Nothobranchius furzeri: one gene and its partner. The protein of the gene in region 2 interacts with the protein of the main gene of each other region in a pairwise test. Links are inferred from orthologs where the notes say so. Each region holds a gene or a part of one and is shown on either strand. Other genes may lie near its edges. The genes, in order: proteasome assembly chaperone 2 and psmg1.

Region 1 (4,334 bases), on a different chromosome or scaffold from region 2:
TTCTTTTTTTCTAAATGACACAGTTTAAGTTCCCCACTACTACTCTGGTGTCGAGGAGGTAGAGACACCCATAATTCAGTTTTTACCGACAATGGCATAAAAAGAGCTGCTGCAGCCACCCCCTCATACTTAAAAACATGACTTCCAGGAAAGCTACACTTGTTACGATTCCCCCAGCAGATTAGCTAATGTCTCGCACTTTCAAGAACACGGTGCCCTCACTGCTCGGCTGGCATTTCATCTCTGGCCATGTGCTTTTTTATTACAGGATGGAAAACTGGTTTTCTTTGATTTAACCCCTTTATTTCATTTCATCTGTCTTTAACTGAAAGTAGACAAAAGGAAAATGGTTTACCAGCTCCAGCCTTTTGCAAACGTAGGTTCAATTTTAAAATTACCCACATATACTAATCAGTACTTAAATTATGTGTGTGTGTGTGTGTGTGTGTGTGTGTGTGTGTGTGTGTGTGTGTGTGTGTGTGTGTGTGTGTAAGCCTATTCCCACCACTCTCAATTAAAGAAAAAATAATTCTAGACAGCCAAGTCATAGAGCAAAGTGCAGTATAAGAGTCTATTCCTGTCATGTTGGCACATCCAAATAAGCAGAAGAAAGAGAATTATTCAGGAACGTGGAACATCTTACAAGTAGAACAAAATATTTTTGCAAATCTGAGTCAATATATTTAGGATCAAAGAAAGAAAAGCAAATCAGAACAGAGCAGGAGGAATGCCTGATCCAAACAGGAGACTCCAGGAAGTCGGGATCTTCCACTTGCACTCGCAGCCCTGGAAGGAGGATCAGATGATTGTTGGGAATTTCAAATCTGATTGAGTCTACATAAAAAGGCTCTTTGTGAAATCTGTAGATTACCAGAGTGTCCAGCAGATGGAGCCAGTCGTTGAGGTGGTTGACCAAAGCAAAGGCGTCTGGGATGTTGTCACCTTCTGAACAGAAGAGCAGCAGCACAGCGAGTGGGAGGTCCTCAGCTAAACAGCTGAACACACGACCGGACATGTGATCAGGAGGAGAGAAAAGAAAGGAAAATGCTACATTTTGTAATTCTGAGTAAGAATTGTGCAAATGTGAAAAGAAAACACAAAACCATGAAAAAGCTTTGGTTTGGTGTGTCCTAAGTGCCTAAATTCTCCCAACATCACAAAAAATGTCAAACCCCGCTGTCTTCCTCATCTTTAGAGGAGCAAATTTTTTAAACGTCTCCTCAGGTTTTCTTTAGTTATTTCCCTATCTACCTGTCGGAGTAAAGCCCTTTGGTGATGCCTCCTCCTGGGATGCACAGTCTTGGCTCTGCATCAGCGTCCTTCACTCCAGGAAATGCCGGCACTCGCTCCATCTCTCTCCAGCCAAGCTCCTTCAGTGTGTCCACGCTCACCTTCAGTAGGGACGGGGTTGCCAGATACCTCAAGGGAGTCCTAAACAGGCACATTTTACTCATCGGCACTTAGAAACGACTTTAAAGAGCAGAAGTGGACAAAAAGATGGATGGTGTTGATGTTTACCCATGCAGCTGCTGGTCATCTCTCTGGTAGGCGTGGCTGCTGGAGAGGACCACAGTCCTTGAGAAGCCACTGGATTTGATCCAGGAAACGAGCATCTGACGGAACTTCTTAGACTTTTTCTGCAGTGAAAACAAAGTTTATAGGATATGAATTCAGTCAATGTTATAAAAACTTGTTGGAAAAAAAAAAAAAAGAAAATGTACCTGAATAATCGGCACTCTGATTTGAAGAACTGCCAACTTCCGTTCTGCTGCTGTGAAAACTAAACAAAAAATGTTAATTTTTAAACTGGAAGAAATGAAGTGATCACTCTACAGAGTTCTAGATCCATTAAAGGTCAGTAATGAGACGCTACCCTCTGCGGGACAGTGCAACCCCTCAGCGTCCTCTTTGCAGGTGCTGTATGGGTTGTTCCCGGCCATCGGAATCAGACAGTCTGTGTGTAAGTAACCCACTCTACTCAAGTTGAGAGTGGAAATGATGAGGTCGACAGCCAGCTGACCCACGTTCCCCACAGCTACTGCAGGCTAGGGAGAGAAAAAAAAATTCAATCAGCATTTCTACCTCCAGCTTCTCAAAAGTCAAGATAAGCTGCTTTTCTTCTCTGAGAACGGAAATGGTAGCCAGGTACCACACTGAAAGTACACATTTAGACTTGTACTTTTGCCTCATCTCAATGTTTTTGTAGTTTTCATTTAAGTCTTATCAAAACGTTATAAAATAATGTCACAGGCGTATTTGGCCAACAGTTTTACCAAATACAGCTCTTGATATCTACATTCGTTTTGATCTGTCTGGACAAAATAACTACAAATGAATCCTTTAACACTAATAATAAATACTCAAATGCATGCTCTAGTACTTAAAGTGACGACGTGGCTTTTAACAAACCAAAGGAAAGAATTAATATTTTGTATACTTTAGATGTATTTCCTATAGTTACTATTTAATTCCCGTTTTTAAAATCAGGCTTTTTTATTTTATTTTAAGCAATCAGCTACAAGAAAATTACTGAGAAGAAGCTGTAAAGAAGCAAAGTTCAATAAATCAGATGCAACTCCTACCTAAAAAAAAACATTAGCAAACAATTTTATTAGCATTATTTTACAAATACTCCCATTAATTCCATTTGTGACACCAAATAACTATATGAGTTACTGATTAGCAGTAAAAACGTGACAAACTAAGGAAATGACAGGATTGACTGCCCAGGCATACTCACCATGACGAGGGTGAAACCTTTGAAGGCGACCGGTGAGTTTTGTGAAGAGATAAACATTCTGCTATTAAGTAGGAAATCAATTTAAATAAGAAAAATACGCAACGAAAAACAGCTAAATTGAATAAAATCCGAATTTGTGGACAGCTTTCTCAGAAAGTTTCATGCTTCCTTGTTTAGACTGAGGACCTTAACAGTTTTTAGGATGCTTAATGGTGCCTGACGAAAATAAAAACAGCAAGGCTTAAGTAAAAATATAAACATGTTAAATTTGATTGTACGTTCTTACTCCTATTACTCTATATTTAATGTGATGTAATGGACATTAAGGCATATTTATACTTTTTATATGTGCTTTGCATTTTAATCAGGCAAATCAGCGGGCAGAACAAAAGCTCTGCCATAGAAGGAATGAAAAAAATCAATCTTGTTTAAAATTCATTCATTTTTATTTTAGTAATATACCTTACTAAATGTCGCATTTATTTTAAATGCATAATAAAATGTGCGCGTGTGTGTTGACAACGGGGGTCCACTTGACGCAGCAACTACGTGCAGGGCTTTGGAGCCACATTGAAAAAGCCCTCTTCAGCTCAAAACACATTTATTTTTAGTCGGTTTAAATCGAGACGTAGCCAAGAAAAGTACTACCAGAACACTAGAAGTAAATTTTTTACGGTTTTGCATTTTTTCTATATAGTTTTATTGCATTTATATAATTTACTAGATGAATTGCATTTCTTGCAGAAATGCTGTTTGCTGGAGCGTCCCCCAGAAAAGTTTAGCATCACACTTTATAACCTTATCTTTACCAAGACAACAGAGGCTGGGCTACAAGACCATATAAACCGTTTTAAGATGCTCCAAACACAAGTGAAACTACAATTAAATGAATCGTGATAAATCTTCAAGAAACTATTTTGCTGTTATCTTTTCTAGTTAAAAAGCAGGCAGGCAGTAACTTTATCCATGTAAACTTTAGTACATCAGGAGGGACAAACACGTTCAGCATTTATCTTGTAATGCTCAGCTGAACTTCCCCTGAACTCTACACTATACCTCTCTCTCTCTTATATATATTTATATTTATATATTTATGTATATATATATACCGGTCAAAAGTTTTAGAACACCCCAATTTTTCCAGTTTTTTATTGGAAATAATGCAGTTATGTTACATTGCACTCTCAAATGAAAGCATAGTACAAATAAGCAATTGGAGTTTAAAAAAAAAAGAAATCTTGGAATCAATTTATAGACGAAAATGTGTTCTAAACTTTTGACTCATCAAAGTAGCCACCTTTGGCAGAGCTGAACACACTCGTGGCATTCTTTCTACAATAGAAATCAAATATTCTTCAGAAAGCTCTTCCCATATCTGTTGCAGAAGGCCCCATAAATGTGTGGCACTTGTAGGTTGCTTTGCTTTCACTCTTCTGTCCAGTTCATCCCAAACCAGCTCGATGGGGTTTAAGTCTGGAGACTGTGCTGCCCCCTCCAATTTTACAAGCTTACCATCTTGTTCTTTTTTGCTGAGGTAGTTCTGGCGTAGCTTGCAATGATGTTTTGGGTTGCTATCTTGCTGTAGGAAGAACCC
Region 2 (3,819 bases):
TTCAAGAAAGTTTTGGTTGTAAACAACAAAGTGCGCATGTGCCGCCAGCAACTTCAGCAGATGATACGGTGGCTGGTAAGGGTCACCGCGCCTACACCGCAGCCACGGTAACCCACCGAGATATATTTTTTAAAAAACAAGACGGTTATTATTATTGTCATTTTTTTTACCGCTACACCGGTTACCATGACAACCCTAGTTATTAGTAATTAATCAAGCTTTGTAGGTTGGACTAAAATTTTAAATGTCAGAAGTAAAGGTAGCTAGAACCACCCTGAGTGCCATGAAACAACAAGTGATTTATGATTTATCATCTCCAGCCTCACACAGAAACATCTCTCTAATAAAACTCTAAAAGGACAATCAACCTGGGACGAAGTAGTAGTAGCAGTAGGTCTAGAATTAAATCCTCAGCTAAATGTGCTAATTTGTGAGACTGATGAGTGAAAGTGAGCCTTAGCAATGCTTCTGACATGCTCATGTTAAAGAAAATCCGAGCACACCTGCAGCTGGAAGTCCTGTAACTATGTTTGGCTGCTCCAGTGGCTGGCAGACAGGCTGATCACTGAAAGCACTGGTGTGGAGAGCTCGCAGGAAGGGAGCAGAGCTGCTGCACAGATAGTCTGCCGTCTTGTAATCAGCCACCGAGCCATCTGACAGCACGGTCACAGTCAGCTCCCTGGGCTGCAGGCAGTCAAACACCTGCAAGAGACGATGACAGCGAGACCAACAAAGCGTTGTGTTACACATCATCTTCCATCATTAATGGAGGCAATATGTGCTGAAATAATATCCCCTAAAAACAGCATTCTTGGCCAAAGTCAGCACAGATCGTGTTGTTGATGCCAGATTTTACTTGTGTATCTGTGTTTTGGTGGCTAATTCTGACATGTGTGAGAGCTGCCAACATTTTCCCAATTTGCAGTTGTCAAGTTCTGAGAACTTGCGCCCATTATAAGCCAAGGTCAAACAAAAAAAAGAAATTAGACTCTATGCTGAAAGAAGTGAAATCTGTCAGTCCTCTGCTGCTGCAGCAGCAAATCAATTTAAAGGTTGATTGTATTCAGAGTATTTTCTAATTCTCAAGCCAGCTCATCTGGCACCAATCAGCAAGATCTCCACCCTCCTGTTTGCTCTAAAACAACAAAACCTCAACAAAAAAACCTCGGGCCATGTTGTTTGCTGTTTAAATGAAGGATGACCTAGTTGGTGTGGTATCAACACTCTTATTTAACGACATATGTGCAGTTCTTGCGGTGTCCCATTGTGAGGTTTCACAACAGATTAAAAAAATCCGCAGCCTCATCAGGCTGATTGACAGTACCTTTTCAGTCCACTGAAACTGTTGATCTTCTGCGACGTAGCAAGTCACATGGCATATCAAAACCTTTAAGGGGAAAACAAATATTTCACATCAAAACTCACAGATAAAATCAAACACAGGCATCTATCTGCAGGTCGGTTAATGCCGAGGGTGTTTTCAGCACGCACGCGGTGCAGGAGAGTTAGAAAGATGGATTCAGGTTTTTAGTAAAAGTCTGTCGCTGGGTGAATTCATTTAGGTTATTCAGGTTTAACGGGTCTACCAAACAAAAAGAAAGTAGACACATGAAGCACCAGTCCCTAGGGAATGATTAAATAATTAATAAATGATCTGTTTGAGGATTTGATAAGTTCAGATCAGGGGCCTCATCTATCAAGCTTGCTTACGCACAAAACGGGGTCGGAAAACTGCGTAAGCAACTTCCACGCAAACTTTGGGATTTATAAAAGAAAACTTAGCGGAAAAATGTGTGCAACTTTAAGTTGACTAAGGACCTGGCTTACGCACATGTTGGACATGGAGAGCACCTGCAGTGCTGCTGCTGAGAAGGATAAAATTATGAAATCCTGCAGCATTATACCTTGTACTGCTTTGTTTTCACACAGAACAAGACCCCCACACGCGCACATGCACACATGCACACACACACACACACACACACACAGCCTGAAGCACAGAGTACGGAATGCAGAATATCAGCAGGGGGACAGATTGAGACAGAATGTCATGCGTCTGTGACAGTGTGTGTGTCCTGTCACTGTGACCCGATTGATCATGCACCCTGGCTGCTTGGACAAGGGAGATCTCCGTTTGGGTGACTGGCTAGTGCGTGTGACTTTCACCAGGGAGTCTGGGGATTGAATCCTGATTGGACCATTTTTTTTATATCCGCCACAGATCTCTCTGAAGAATTCACAACATTGACGGCTTCAGCAATGCTGTGCCACTCCGTGGATTTTCGCTTATTTGTTTTGCAAAAGCACTTCCTTTCATTTCTTCACCTCACCCACAGGTACCGAAATTTCTGCTTCTGTGAAATTGTGCTTCCTTGATCTGCCTTGATCTACGGTCGCCATGTCATTGGCGAAGCACTGCAACAGCCGGCTTATGTATATGCATGAGATCCACAAGGCACTTTGCATTGACTATTTATGGCAGTAAGTGGGCGGGGTGAGGGTGGGATGTGACTAAAAAGCAGCTGAGAACCTTTCTAGATAGTTTCTGATTTATGAAGCGGAGATTGCGTGAAGCTGTGCGTACTCCACGTTTGATAGATCACAAACCTACTTGGCGTAAGTACTTTTTTTTTTGCTGAGCTTAAGAACGGTTTTAGTAAGGATTCTACACGATGTTTGATAAATGAGACCCCAGATCTGCATCAGATAACTTTTTTATTTGAAAACCAACTACTGGTAATAATTTAACAGTTTCACTTATTTTAATATATCCATCCATCCATTTTTGTAACCCGCTTTTCCATGTAGGGTTGTGGGGGGCTGGTGCCTATCTCCAGCTGTCTTTGGGCAAACAGGCGGGGTACACACCCTAGACAGATTGCCAGTCCCTCGCAGGGCAACACAAGGACACACAACCATGCACACACACACACTTAAGGACAATTTAGAGAGACCAATCAACCTATCGGTCATGTTTTTGGACTGTGGGAAGTGCACTGGAGAGAGCCCATGTGTGCACAGGAAGTAAATGCAAACTCCATGCAGAGAGACCCCAGGCTGGGATACGAACCCAGGACTTCCCTGCTGCAAGGAAACAGCGCTAGCCACTGCGCCACTGTGCAACCCTTATATTAATATAATAAAACACAAATCAAATCCTTTTCTTCCCATTACCAGGGTGAACTGACCTCTCCTTACAGCCCAAAAACCACATAAACTGACCTCAATCCTGTGAAAACTGAACCAAAATATGCCACCTTTATAGTGGGAATAAAAGGACTTTCAGTAAACCGGTGATTCATAAATATTTTGTGAACAATCACGCTTATCTGCTTCTGTCGTCCCTCCGTTTGTTAAAATCCCTGCAGCCCTCTGAAAGAAGCAGGACAGGTGTGATAAATCTGAAGCTTCCGCTGCAGCACACAGTCATTATCTGCATTCATCTTGATTAAATCAAACGTGAAGGACGTAAGGCAAATACAACAAAGGCACGCACACGCGCGCGCGCACACACACACACACATACACAACTGGCTGCTTGAAACTCTAAATTCTGACACTTAATCCAACATGATTTTCTTCTCTTGTAATGGCCTTTGATGAAGTAAAAAGGATCATTTTTGTCACAAGTATTCATCAACACGTAGCCTGCAGCTGGACAATAATGACATTAATAGAAACATCTCTAACAGCACAGGAGACCAATTAAAGGGAGGATGAGGAGCAGAAGTTCTCAACAGTCATGTGCTTTCTGAGGTGTTATTCAGCAGCAGATATATTCTGAAGTGTTGATTTTCTCAGTGTGTCACTCACTGCTGG

What was found.
Region 1: the proteins of psmg1 (region 2) and proteasome assembly chaperone 2 interact in binary tests that used the Homo sapiens proteins (3 or more experiments, as listed by UniProt). The link is inferred for Nothobranchius furzeri from reciprocal best matches to the Homo sapiens genes PSMG1 and PSMG2.

What each region holds. Positions count from the first base shown.
Region 1 is NC_091742.1:8,407,393-8,411,726, forward strand, and holds proteasome assembly chaperone 2, read right to left. Parts: upstream 2,927-4,334; 5' UTR 2,798-2,926; coding exon 2,741-2,797; intron 2,046-2,740; coding exon 1,874-2,045; intron 1,781-1,873; coding exon 1,722-1,780; intron 1,638-1,721; coding exon 1,519-1,637; intron 1,432-1,518; coding exon 1,252-1,431; intron 996-1,251; coding exon 872-995; intron 787-871; coding exon 709-786; 3' UTR 424-708; downstream 1-423. UniProt on the Homo sapiens protein: Chaperone protein which promotes assembly of the 20S proteasome as part of a heterodimer with PSMG1.
Region 2 is NC_091750.1:52,547,440-52,551,258, forward strand, and holds part of psmg1 (proteasome assembly chaperone 1), read right to left. Parts: coding exon 3,814-3,819; intron 1,388-3,813; coding exon 1,325-1,387; intron 703-1,324; coding exon 504-702; intron 1-503. UniProt on the Homo sapiens protein: Chaperone protein which promotes assembly of the 20S proteasome as part of a heterodimer with PSMG2.